Linked DNA regions of Caenorhabditis elegans. The protein of the gene in region 1 interacts with the protein of each later gene in a biochemical or structural test. Each region holds a gene or a part of one and is shown on either strand. Other genes may lie near its edges.

Region 1 (5,159 bases):
TGCGTATACAGTTCAGATTCAGAAATTTCGATCAGACTGTTTAGTAAATTTATTAGGGTAATTCTAAATTTTTTTGTATAGAAAACTGAACAGGTAATCCAAATTCAAATGTGTTCCATTTATTTTGATACAAATATAGGTGCCTATAAAACAGGCTTACCGCCTGCCTAGATAAAAACTATTTTTCAAATTAAAATATTCAGACGAGTTACTTTTTTTTTGCGGAATGTGTATTGGTTTACTTGGTTTCTAACGTACCGCTAACCAACTTAAACTGAAAATTCGAGGAAAATAGGGAGAAGAATACTGTAGATATATAAAATTTCTACAAAATTTAAATTCTTTTTACCAAAACCCAAAAATTTTCGAAAACGAACGAGTTACTGTACGAAGTTTGTATATATGCCCGCATAAACCTAGATAAGTAAGGTTAGAAAGCAACTTGAAATTTTCAATGTAGAGAATGTATTTGACTTGCCAACAACTTTGCCATTTCCTCCCGTTTCAAACTACAAAAACATGAACTTTCAATACATGGGACAATTACTTTATAAGTAGGTACACGCGACCCTAAACTTTGTTCACTTTGAAAAAAAAGTGAATTCCGTTTTAAATGTCCATGGCTGACTACATTTTTCCGTATCTTCACTCATGTTTTTCCGATTCGACCGTAATATTTGATAAGATCAAACATTTCCATGACAATCCATTCCTAAACCAGTTTTTCTTCATTTTCAAAAACATTTTTCAGTATCACTAAAGACCTTTTCCCACCTTTTGCTATCTCTTTTTTTCAATTCGAAATTGACCTTCGCACCTTTTCAGAGACCGTCAAATTCTGACACACGATGGAAAGTTTCGAGAAGAAGACTTTCTGGCGGTTTTTGATGAATTCTGTAAAACAAATGGATTGTTTGCTGGCTCCAATGCTCCATCAACTGTAGCCGAGAAATGTTACACTAAAGCGGTAATACACAATGAAAACAGAACAAAGGTTAATAGATAAGAAACGTTTGATTTTAGATTGAAAAGTACATGAAGAAAAACAATATTAATGCAGAGGTGCAAAACAAATCAACACACTTTTTTGCAATGAATGAAAGTCAAATTTTCAAATATAGAAATTATGGTGATACAACATTACCTGATGGATACTCAATTGATATACCTGAATCAACAAATGATGTTATGAAGATTGTAGGATCATCTATCACACCAAATGCAAAATTAGTAGAGTGAGTTTTTGGATCAGGAAATTAAAAACCAACAGTACTAGATTTATATCATTTTCTCACAAAATCGAGAAATCGTAAAACAACAGTTACATGGAAAAATAGGAATTTTTTTCAGAGAAAAACTTCGACGGTTCCCATCGCTCTGCGTTCGTAAAGGCGACGAACTTGTTGGATTCATTTCTTCAGAAACTCACGGAGCACTTGCTCATTTGCATGTCTTTGATGTGAGTTTTACTATTTTCAAATTGAATATTTTCAAATCTGTTTTTAGGGGCATCGTGGTAAAAATCTTGGAGAGAAGTTGGAGATTGGAGCTGCTAAAATGGCTATTGAGTGAGTGATTTTTTGACAAAGGACTGTGGAAAAATGATAATATTTTAGAAATGGAATGCGTCCATGCAAGTTCATCGACACAACAAACAGTTTCTTCTTGGAAAAAGCAAAAAAGTCAAAGTTGATGGATGTTGTTGAGTCCAATGGAACACCGCTAGTTTTCGACCAAAATGTTTATTCCCAGGCGTCAAATTATGGAATGCACAAGTGATTTTAATAGGAATACAATGAACTTACAATAAATCAAATATACATGTAAATATTGAATAAAAATTCGAATACCTTCCAGCAAGTATATTTGCAAAGTAATGTTCTTTTACAGCTAGATTTTGGTCAGACAGTGTTGTTGAAAATTTTTTAGTCGAGAAAATCTAGTTATTCGCTGTTTATGAGTTACTTTTTCAGACAATTACACAATTTCCATGCTTGCTAAAAAAAAATTATTAGTTACAGTAACCTTTAAAGGCGCAGCAGCGGGGAGTGCACATCTCAAACGAGTGTGACCGTAGTCATTGGTGAAAATTGGCAACATTTTCTTGCAAGTTTTTTGACTTTGATTCAACCATAAATTTCAGACTTAATTCTAAACTTAAGTATTAAAAAATAATTATTTGATCTTATTTAGCGCGCATTGCCGCCAAACATTGACTTTTTGTTTCGAAATTTTGGGACAGAGATGGTTTTCTTCAGTTTTCTTTTGTTCAACAACATTTGGTTCTGTTCATTCATTTATTTCATTCAGAAGGATTTTGGCCCGTTTATTTGAATTTTAAAAGAGCTTATTTCTGAATTACGTCGCTTAAAACAATAATTTTATACCGTTTTGGCGCATTCGTTTTTTCTCGTTAAAAACTTATTTCTTTCATTCTTTAGACGGTTGTTATTCATTGCTCGCGGAATCTTACCATTTTTAAAATTTCTTTAAATTTCAGGGAATCAATTAACCGAGCACCCCACGCCTAATCACTAACCACCCATTTCCCCTGCACTACTAACGAAATAATGGATATGCTCAAGGAAAATGTTATCCAGAATAATGAGTGAGCCACTTTTATCATAGTTTCTCAATTTTAATTTTCTTTTTTAAGGGCTCGTACAGAGTCGAGTGTTGAACCATCGCATCCCGATATGATGGAGACTGTTCCGGAAGAACAGCAAAAACCGATTTCTCATATCGACGATTTGCTTTCCGAGACCGCTAACCTGATGGCTGTCAAGGAGCAGCTTCTCAAGGAGATTGCTGAGTAATTCTATAGGATAAATGGACTGTTTCTTAAATTTTATCTTCTCAGAAACGAGCATATTCATTCGATGCAAATGAGAGCTCTTCAAAATCTTCCACAGGAAGCTATTCTCCCACTGCAATATCATGCTGATCCAAGACGCCGTCACCGAATGCAAAAACCGGAATCGTACAAGACTGTCATATGTCAGGCTTGGTTGGAGTCGAAGACATGTGCTTTCGCGGAGAACTGTCGTTTTGCTCACGGCGAAGAGGAGCTTCGTCCATCTCTGTTGGTTTGAACATTGAATTAAGATTACACAACATATTTTACAGGATCGAGGCACGTCAAAACAATAAGTACCGGACGAAGCTCTGCGATAAGTACACTACTACTGGGTTGTGCCCATATGGAAAACGCTGTCTTTTCATTCATCCGGACAATGGACCAAATGCATACATTCGAGCCGATAAATTGTTCGAGGTAAGATAACTTTTTAATTTTCCACTTTAATCAAATCTTCAACAGGTTTCGCAACGTCATGCTTTGGCCGACCTTCGCGATCAAATGGAGCATCATATCATGAATGGAGGTCGTTCTACAGCCGGCCCTCAACAATTTGATATGTTTGCAAGGCCATGCACACCAGATGAGCCAGCAGCAAATATGCCATTGGGTCCAACCCCAGTTAGCATTCGTGGACCACGATACGAGTTGCCATCGAAGAAGCCACTTGAGACTGAGGGTATGAAAATTGAATATTGATGATTAATTCAAAATAATTTTACAGAAGCCGGGAATCGCCCACCATCAAGCTGGCCGTTGGATCCATCAACTTTCTTCGCATTGGATAGTCTGAATATGGCAACTCGTCCAATCAGTCCGTTTGAGTCTATGCTTATTGGAGCAGCCGGGAACATGCAATACTCTATGCTTGGAAAACAATCAACACCGGGAGGAGTTTCGGGATATTCTTCCTCTGGATCAACTCCGTCTCAAGATAGTGATTCGTCTCCACTCACAGCTGCTTCTGCTGCTGCAGATGCTGCCTGCCAAGCCAACTCGGAGTCTGCTCAGTCTATTCTTCTGAAGTCTATCAACAATCCGATGATTGGAAACGAGACAACTCTTCCAATTCCTGGACTTGATCAACTTGCCATGGACATTGCCAAGCACCTTGAATTGTGGTGAATAACCACCTCCTTCCCCATCTATTTATACATTTTGTCAAATTGCCATACGTTTTTATGTCCCATACTAACTATAATAACGCGCGCAATTTGTAAATATAATAAGCTCAATGTTCCTGTCATATAGAAAGCACGCTCGCTCCCCCCATCTCTCGCAGGCTCTGAAACTAAACTTGAATTATTTTGCTGCATTTTATTATATCGGATATCATTGCATGTATTTTCAATTCCCTCCAAATATAAATTGCTCGTATCCTCTCCCCACACTAACAATCAATAAACTTTATCGAATGTCAATCAATGTTTTTGAAGACCATCTGGAAATAACGTTTTTTCACGAAGATATCTGATTTTCAATTATAGAATTGCAAAATAATTTCTGAAATGTTTCGTTTGACAAAAAAATATTTTTTAATCTTCCCTCCAATTAGTTTCGCGACAGGGCGCATTTGCTTCGTCCAGACGAGCGTTAATTTTTCAACAGATTGAGCGCATTCTTTCTTTTAAATTATTGTTTGTGGTTTCAGGTGAAATAAATGGGTAAATTGAATCGATTAGCACTTTTTCATCGTTCAAGAAGGCAATGTGCTTACTCACCGACAATTATTACACGTGAAAGTAGTAGGTAAACGATAAACTAAGAAAATAAAATAACTAATTTTTTCAGCTCCTTTAACATCGACGAGGTAACACAAAATTTTGAACAAAGAACAGAGTTTGCCGCTGCAAATTATCGAAAGAATGGTCAGATTTCCTTGATAATAGTTCTAGGCAAAAAAATATTTTTCAGGCAGTCTATTTCGTATGGTTTTACCCCCGCCAAACGTAACTGGTAAACTGCATTTGGGACATGCTCTAACAGTTGCAGTGGAAGATGCTATTTGTCGACACCAGAGAAATCAGGGAAATAAAGTAAAATTTCACGAAAAATTAAGATGCTTATTTTTATGTTTTCAGGCCGAATGGATTCCTGGATTTGATCACGCAGGAATCGCCACACAAGTAGTCGTGGAAAAAATATTGGCAAAAAATGGAAAGCGACGACTTGAGATGACACGCGAAGAGTTTGTGAAAGAATGCCATTTGTGGGGTGAAAAATGCTCATCTGAAATTCGACAGCAATTGACTCGAATGGGAGCTTCTCTCGACTGGACTCAATCATATTATACTCTCGATTC
Region 2 (9,134 bases), on another chromosome or scaffold:
CGGTACCGTATTTTTTGCGCAAAAATAGCAAAATTTCATAAAAATCCCGGTTTTCGAAAAAAAAATCGTCGATTTCGCTCTGAAAATCTAAAATTTAAAAAAATTTCCAATTTTCAAAAACTAAAAAAACTTTCATTTTAAAGCCAATTCCAAGCGGAAAAAAAAAGTAATTTTCGTAGTTTGTAGTCACAAAGACTACAAACTACAAAACCACCACAGCCTCACCATTTATGTTCAGTAGCAATGTATAGTAAATTTCAGCGCCAGCGGTTCAAAATGAAAAATATTAACAAGGAAGCTTCTCGTCTCTTCAAAGGCGCATCGGACAAATAAATGACTGTTTAATGTCCAAAGAAGAGGCATTATTCGGAGATGCGCGCGCGGGGGGATGATCATTATCTCGAAAATCTTCAGAAAAATCGATCCACTTTTATTTCCAGGAAAAAAAATGAAAATAAAATGAGAGAGAGAGAGAGAGACGGAGAGAATTTGGATGGTGTGTGAAATTTCAGTTGGTGGTGGTGGTAGAGTGGGGAAAAATAAAATATTTTTAAAATGTAATGAATTGGGGGGACAAATACTATATTTCCAAAAAATATATAAAAAATTTCCACAAAAACAGGGACATTGGCGTTGTGGGGAGACACTTACAGAGCAAAAAAAAGAAAAGAAAAAAAGACAGAAAATATGGGGGAGAGAGAGAGCAGTTTTCAATTCATTTTTGGCTAGAAATTTCTTTAGAGGAGAGCGTGGGAACACAAAATCGGGATTACAAAAGAAAACGGCGGCGGAGGGGGAGGAAATGTACAGAAGTCGCGGATTTTTTCAGGCCTTTGGGCCTAGATGAAGTCCTAAAAAATTGGGCCTCAAAAATTAGGCCAAAGGTTTAAAAAACCCAAAATTTTTGGCCTAAAACCCAATTTTCAGCCAAAATTTCAGGAACCTTGAAAACCTAATTTTTAGCCAAATTTTCACAGAAAAATCCAGGGGGGAGCCAGGTGGGGTAAAAAAAAAAGAGTAAAAATTCAAGTTTTTCGAGACAAAAAAGCTTGAGGGGACAATAAAATAAAATAAAAGAAGAGCAGCAGACAATCGAGTTGGGGGGAAATGCTTCTACAACACAGTTGCTATGGAGACGATACGGGCGATGGAGGGGGGTGGGGGGGGGAGGGCTCAAAAGAAAAAATAATAATTTTTTTCTTAATGATGATAGGTATGGAGAGAGAGAGAGACAGAGAGAGAGGAGAGGATGGATGTATAAAATCAATGGAAAAGAAAAATCCCACGGAAAATGAAAAAAAAAGAAACATTCGAGAGAAAATTCAGAACCAATATTAAAATAAAAAAAAGAAGTTTAAGCCGATGGGCCAGCCACATCACCGCTTGTCGTTGAAACTTCACCAGTTCCCATTGGACCGTCCATCTCAAGTGTTGGAAGAGGTCGACCAGATGGAAGACGTGCATCCGGGTTTCGGAGCTCATCAAAGAATGCGTGCTGGCAGGCCTGAAAAAGACGAAAAACATATATATATTGGTTGAATTGTTAAAGTAGCGTGAATTGGGGGCGATTTTGTCTCTCAAAAATTTCAAAATACAGTCTCAAATTCAGAAAAACGAGCAAAATCGATATTTTTGTCCATTGTGAGTTCCAAATTCCCCATGTTTGAATCCACGTGGAGTCAGAAAGTCCCATTTTGATTTGATCTACGAAAAATGCGGGAGATGAGACGCAAACATCTCAACTGATTTCACATGGTTAAAAGCGTGCAGACGTTACAATTTTTCTGGGAAAAAATTCCCGCATTTTTTGTAGATCAAAACGCAGACAATTCCCTCCAAAATGCAAACTCCCCAATCGATCAATCAACGACATCGAACTCCGCCCACTTCATCTGATTGGTTGAAAAGTGGGCAGGACGAATCGCTGATTGGTCGGGAAGTTCTCGTTTTGGAGGAAATTCAAAATGGAAATTTAAAATATACTAGTTAGTCACAATAGGGAAAATCGTGTTTTCGAAAGTTGAATTGTTCATTTTTCTCGATTTTGCTCGTTTTTTGTGGTTTTTCTAAATTTAAAAGTGTTTTCAAGCCAATTTTCTAATTTTCAACCATCATACCACGTAAATGTCTCCATCTTTAAAATTACGAGAACATCATAATTTTCTGGAAATCTCATTTGTAGTATGGCCTCTAATATTCTTGCAGTTGACATTTAGTTACTAGTTTCAAAAAATAAAAGTACGGATAAATTGTGAGCCGAGTTTTTTACTGCTCACTGCTTGTCAGCGAGTTCTATAAAAATTCCAAGAAACATTTCTTTCCAAGTTTTAGCTGAAATTTTGTTAAATTCAAGTTGAAATTTCAGTGGGATTTTCAATTTTTATGTCTATTTCAGATTTCACTAACTTTGAATTTATAGCTTTTTTTTCAAAATTAAAAACCACGGTTTCACAAGTTATCTTTTTCCAAAAATTGGAAAAAAAAGCCAAAATTCTGCAATTTTTTTTGTGTAAAAATCTAATGCTCCCATCTGCTTCCATAAATATCTTCCATATTCGTGCCAATTTGAGAAATCTAAGAAAAAAAACCGGGAAATGGCTTGATCTATGGGAGAATTACAATGAGGAAACAAAGATTTCAACGATAGATATTAAGGCGATTTTCAAAAGCAACCAACGAACGGGGTGGACTTTCTAAGCGGTTTTGTGAGGGGGCGATCGAATTTGTGAACAATGAAGATACTTTTTTTTGGAAAAATACAGATAAAATCATTGAATTTCGTTTCAAACTGGCTGCTTTTTTTTTGAGCGATCGAAAATCTGCAAAATCTGCAATTTTCAAAATGGAGGAAAAATAAGCTGACCGAATGGCCGAAATTTTTTAAATAAATTTTCAGTCAACTGTCTAATGTCTCAAAAATCACACTCAACTTTCTCTTTTTTTTTCATTCATATTACGGGAACCGAAAATTCTGAGAAGAATGCGTATTACACATCATAATTGACGCGCAAAATATCTCATTGCGAAAACTACAGTAACCCTTTAAATGGGTACTATAGCTCCGTGTGGCGATTTACGGGATTGATTTTCGATATGAATCTATTCTATATTTTCCTTCGTTTCTTCGTATTATTGTCTCATTTTTTGATTAATAAATGCAGAATAAAAATCGAGCCCGTAAATCGACACAAGCGCAGCGCTACAGTAGTCCTTTAAAAGGTTACTGTAGTTTTCGCTACGATATATTTTGCGCATCGAATATGTTTTTTTAAGGATTTTGTGTTCCATAATAACTTTTGTGAGCAAAAATTCGCATTTTTTGAGAATAAAATTACAGAACATTCGCTTTCAAAACCGAAAAACAAAAAAAAAGTCCATTTTTAGACAATTTCAATAATTTTTTGACACAATTTTAATATAAGTTTTGTTTTTCCATTTTCAAGTGTTTTTAAACGTTAAAAACTACCGGAAATCAGTTTTTGACATTTTTTGTGCAATTTTCGCCATTTTAATTATCTCGATAAAAAGTCGAAAAATTCAAACTTCCATTAATTTTTAGAGATTTTTCTCATAAAATTGTAAAATAGCCAAAATGATTAAAATTCCTGAATTTCGCAGTATTTTTTAAACTTTTGGGCAATTTTCTCAAGTTTTCAATGACAAAAAATCAATTTTTTTCAATTTAAAAGGTTTTTAGTTGAAAAAAGAGTCGATTTTCAGCAATTTAGTGTTGGGAAAACATTTTTAATTCATTTTTCGGCCTTTTTTCTACAAAAACCCCCAAAAAACTCACCGCTTGAGGTGTTGGCCGAGACGTCGGCGTATACTCGATAATCTTCGAAATGAGATCAATCGCTTCAGCAGGCGTGTGTACACGGAATACCTTATTCCATGGATGTGCCTTTATCTGTGGAAATTTGAATTCCTTGTAGTTCGGATTCATACTTTGAATTTGTTCACGAGTCGGTGTTCCAAGAACTTTAATAATTTCAACGAGTTGATCAACTCCAGAGTCACCAGGGAAAATTGGTTGGCCGAGAAGAAGCTCTGCCATTACAGTTCCAGCCGACCAAACGTCAATCGAGTTCGTGTAGTTTGTAGCGCCGAAAATGAGCTCCGGAGCACGATAATATCGCGAGCAAATGTACGAGACGTTTGGCTCATTGCGAACCAAATATTTGGCAGATCCAAAATCACAGAGCTTAAGCACTCCGCTTTCCGGGTCAATGAGCAAATTCTGAGGCTTAATGTCACGGTGACAGATTCCAATGCTATGAATGTAGGCCAATGAACGGAGAAGCTGATACATGTACAATTTGACATAAATCATTGGAATTTGTTGTCGCTGCTTCGAATAGTGCCGGGCAACTCTGCAAAAATTAAAAATTTCAAATAAATTTCGCAAAACATCAAGTTTTTTTGTTTAAAAATCGATTTTTCTAAATTTTTTCAATTTTTACATAATTTTTTCCATAAATTTTAGTCAAAAATTGTCAAAAAAAAATTTCTAGGTTTTCAACTTGAAAATTCAAAATTATAAAAAAATAGAATATTTTCAATTTTGTAAAGAATTTTGCAAAATTTCAAGTTTTTTTGTTTTAAAATCGTATTTTCTAAATTCCAAGCTATCAGCCATGTAGTTTGTAGCCTTTCTATACGTTTGGAACGCATTTTTGAACTTTTAAATAGCTTTTTACATAAATTTCAGGAGGAAATTCGTGAAATAGTGCATTTTAGTCAAAAATGTTGCAAAGAAATCTGCTTGAAATCGCCCTGTAGCGCTGGAATTCGGGAAAAATCAATTTTTATCTTAAAAAATCAAAATTTAGCGAAAAAATTCAATTTTCGAACCAAAATTTCACAAAATCGACGGAAAATCAAATTTCCATGAATTTTTGTCAGAAATTAACAAAAAAGGTTAAAAAAATCAGGCATTTTTTGATTATTTCCTTTAAAAATTTACATTAACATCATTTTTAAACAGTTTTTCACAAAAAAAAACATAAAAATTCAGCTTTTTATTGAATTTCTACTATTGTTTTTCAAAATTTTTAAAAATATCTTTAAAAAAGAAATTCGCAATTTTTATTTAAAAATTTCCAAAAAAATTTTTTTTTTCAATTTTTAAATAAGAAATTCTCTTTATTTTTGAACAAAAAAATTCCGCTAAAAACTGAAATTTTCCAGAAATTTTTAAAAATCCTAATAAAAATAACCTGTAGACAGTTTCAGGAACATATTCGAGAATCAAATTCAAGTAGAGTTCATCCTTCTTCTCGCCGCTCGAATAGAAAAAGTATTTGAGCTTCACGATATTTGGATGATTCAATTTTCGCATAATCTGTAGTTCACGATTCTTGAATCGTTTGTCCTGAAGAACTTTCTTGATTGCAACCATTTCATTTGTTGTAGAGAGTTTGGCAAGGAATACCACTCCGAATGATCCATTTCCAATCACTTTCTGATCGTAGTACGAGATTTCAACCTACAATACATTTTTTTTTAATTAAAATTTGAATTACAGTGTTTTTTTTCGTTTGGAGATTTTTTAATAATAATTTTTTCACATTTTATCAGCTAGTTTTCCAGCAAATTTCCTTTTTTTTTTTTTGAAGAAATTGATATTTTAAGTGCTTGAGTAAAATCGTGTACTCCACGAGGAAAAGGAGAACAATTTTGTCAACCTATTTATTACGTGTTTATCCACAGATGAGAAAAATCGCCATATCTGCCGCGCAAATGAACCCGCGGGAAGAGATAAAACTACTGTAGTTTTTAACCAATTTGTGTAGATTTACGAGCTATTGCGTCATCGTTGAATTTAATTTGCAGGCGTTTTTCTAATTTTTTTGTGTTTTCTTTTAAGATTTATTCAATAAATAGATAAATTTCAATATAAAAAAGAGTGAAACACGCCTGAAAATTAAAAATTGCGGCTCAAAATTAAATTCAACGATGACGCAATAGCTCGTAAATCTACACAAATTGGTTAAAAACTACAGTAGTTTTGTCTCTTCCCGCGGGTTCATTTGCGCGGCAGATATGGCGATTTTTCTTATCTGTGGATAAACACGTAATAACTCATTTATTGTGTTGTACTAAATATCGAAAAATATATTTGTATCACTTCCAAAGAGTTTTTTTTTGTGAAAATCCTCATTTTCATGCATTTCCACCAGAGGTGGGCGGATATTTTTTCGGATATTTTCTAATAATGAATTTATCAATAAGTATTGATGTAGTTATTCTGGAAGAAATGTATCCGAACAAAAGAGTAACTATTAAGCAATCGGATATTACGGATATTACGGATATCGGATAATGGACTTGCATATCGTTTATACAGAAAACTTGTAGAATTTTTTTAGGTTTTATCATATTAAAATGTTGCTTAATAGTTACTCTTTTGTTCGGATACATTTTTTCCAGAATAACTACATCAATACTTATTGATAAATTCATTATTAGAAAATATCCGAAAAAAATACCCGCCCACCTCTGATATCCAACTTCTTTTCATCCAAATTTCTCCGAGAAAATTAAAATTTCCTCACTCAAAACCAACCTGCTGATCAACACCATCCGTGGCGACTGACGCGACGACCATCGTCACTTGTTTTCCGCTTTTCAGCGAGCACGATAGTAACTGCTTATTCATCACACCACACTACTGATTGATTTGATTCTTGTGTGTGTGTGTGTATATATGAGCTCTGTCCAATAAATGAGAAGAGCCAGAGATTAGATGATGAGGATATGATGTGGTTTTTTGAGAGGGAAAACGGAGAGAATGAGGCTATTCACCTGAAAATAAAAAATAATAAAATATTTCATTTGGGCGTTGGGTTTGAAAAATACGAGGAAACGTATAAAAATGGGTGATATTTAAGGCAAATATGAGGTGAAATGGAGTAACATTTCAAAATTCGATAAACTTTTAGGAATTCCTAGCCAAAGTGGGAACAGGGGTGGGCGGCAAACGACTTTTTCTGGCAAATCGGTAAACCGGCCAATTTCCGACGAATCGGCAATTTGTCGAATTTGTAGGACTATTAAAGAGCTGTTAAATATGGATTTCGCCAAAAAACTTTACTGGAAATTAGACGATTTTTGGCATTTTCAGCCCATTTTTTTAGGATTCGCTTCAAAAAATCCAAAATAGTCGTAGGGGAGCTCTCATTTTGGAGGATATTCAAACTAGAATAGAATTTAGCCAAAAATTGAAAAAATCGAAGTTTTAAAAGTAGTATTTCTCAAAACTTCTAAAGTTTTTTCTAAAGCTTAATGTAATGTTATTAGCTCGAAAAAGTTGGCTAACTCACTGTAATAAAAGGGAAACGCCAAAACTGCCAAATTTTTAAATATAGAAATGAATTTTTTGAATTTTAAAATTAAAAAAAGGGAAGTAAAATCTAATCCGACACGTTTTAATGTACGTTTTTTTCAAAATAAATAAATACATATTCATTCGAAATTGAATTTTTCTAAATTTAGCGGCAATAAAAAATATATTTCTAGAAGAAACTATATTTTTGGTACTTATGGGTTTCGTTCCCCCCAAAATGATTTTTAATTATTCAACACTACCTTTTTAATTTTAATCCACACGTTATTGTTTATTTTAATACTGTTTTCATTTTTACAAGGCTTAGAAAATCATTTCCCTAAGCCTGGGAATGAAAAAAAAGTTCACGTATCAATTAGAAAATATGGAAATCATTTTGGGGGGAACGAAACCCATAAGTACCATATTTTTTGATTTGGAATTGATATAATTGCTATTTTCGTAAGTATTTCAAAATTCTGACTGAATCAAAATAAAATGCTTCAATTGCTCATCTTAAAATAGCATGTAAGCCCATTTTGCTACACAATTTCAAGAAATTTCACTAGCGCGATCGAAATAACCAGTTTAATAGGAAATTACTCATATTTTCAACGGAAAATGCTCAAAATCGCCAAAACTCACCGCTTCTCACTAACGATTGAACGAAAAATGACTAAATTTCGGTGTTGTTTTTTTTATTTTAAAAAACTAATCCAACACGTTTTAAAAATAAATAGAATTGCTTTTTATATAAATACAAAAATACATTTTATTTCAAAATTGATTTTTTCCAATTAAATTTCGTGGCAATAAAAAGGTACGTATTTTTTTAAAATGTTGTTCCTTGGGAAAAATCAAAAAAGATTTTGGCTAAACAGGATTCTATATTGATCGTAATAGGGAATATATAAATATATATACCGGAAAACTGGCAATTGTCGTTCGGAAAATTGTTTTCCGGGAAACTGCCGGTTTGCCAGTTTGCCGGAAATTTTCATGTTCGGCAAATTGCACAATGTCAATTTGCCGAACATCAATTTGCATATATGTATCTTTATATATATATATATATATAATATATATGTGTCAGTCAATATGAGGGGGTGGAAAAGAAGGAAAAACAGCTAAAATTGAGTGTGGTGAGCGAGTGAGCGCGAGCGCGTGTCTGATGGAGGAAATGGGCAAAAATATGGTGAGATGGAGAAGAAAAAGGAAATGAAAAAGAAAAAAGAAGAAGAAGAAATGCGCTATCAATGTGGAAATAAGCATATTCAATGTTCCCATGGTTTCTATTTTCATTCTATACTGATTTTATATTTATTTTTGTATCGGAAATGTTGAAATTCGGCAATGTCGGGAATGTCCAATTAAGGGTGGACGGAAATTTGGCAATTTTTTTTGCGAACTTGCCGGTTTGCGGATTTGCCGGAATTTTTCATTCTCGGTAATTTGCCGATTTGCCGTTTGCCGGAAATGTGCCGTTTTGAAATTTTTTCCCGTTTTCTTTAAGTATTTTCATAGAATTTGCTTACTGTTCAAAATAGATATAGGAACATTCACAGAATGGGAACAATTTTGCCGATTAAAATTTAAATTCTGAAATTTCCAAAAAAAATGTGCGAATCCGCAATTTTCCAAAAATTTTCGGCAATTGCCGTTTTTTCGGTACATCGGAAATTATCGGTAAATTGCCGGTTTGCCGATTTGCCAGAAATTTTCAATTCCGGCAATTTGCCGATTTGCCGGAAATTATATCGTATATTCGCAAATAATAGAAACGATACTTTAAAGGAACACGCTCACATTC

What was found.
Region 2: of the proteins of oma-2 (region 1) and gsk-3, one has a biochemical effect on the other in vitro, tested with the Caenorhabditis elegans proteins (one study listed by BioGRID).

What each region holds. Positions count from the first base shown.
Region 1 is NC_003283.11:8,026,939-8,032,097, forward strand, and holds oma-2 (CCCH-type zinc finger protein oma-2), read left to right. Parts: upstream 1-2,500; 5' UTR 2,501-2,570; coding exon 2,571-2,608; intron 2,609-2,656; coding exon 2,657-2,812; intron 2,813-2,860; coding exon 2,861-3,082; intron 3,083-3,126; coding exon 3,127-3,274; intron 3,275-3,319; coding exon 3,320-3,536; intron 3,537-3,581; coding exon 3,582-3,982; 3' UTR 3,983-4,276; downstream 4,277-5,159. Other genes in the region: F43H9.4 (Glycine N-acyltransferase-like protein), read left to right, coding at 826-967, 1,024-1,235, 1,351-1,459, 1,507-1,568, 1,617-1,779; vars-1 (valine--tRNA ligase), read left to right, coding at 4,518-4,606, 4,649-4,725, 4,772-4,893, 4,939-5,159. UniProt on the Caenorhabditis elegans protein: Zinc-finger RNA-binding protein that binds to 5'-UA[AU]-3' motifs in the 3'-UTR of maternal mRNAs to suppress translation in oocytes and embryos.
Region 2 is NC_003279.8:12,816,886-12,826,019, reverse strand, and holds gsk-3 (Glycogen synthase kinase-3), read right to left. Parts: upstream 6,805-9,134; 5' UTR 6,659-6,804; coding exon 6,566-6,658; intron 5,486-6,565; coding exon 5,217-5,485; intron 4,371-5,216; coding exon 3,794-4,370; intron 1,902-3,793; exon of another isoform or gene 1,848-1,901; intron 1,505-1,847; coding exon 1,355-1,504; 3' UTR 418-1,354; downstream 1-417. Other genes in the region: nhx-8 (Sodium/hydrogen exchanger), read right to left, coding at 226-228.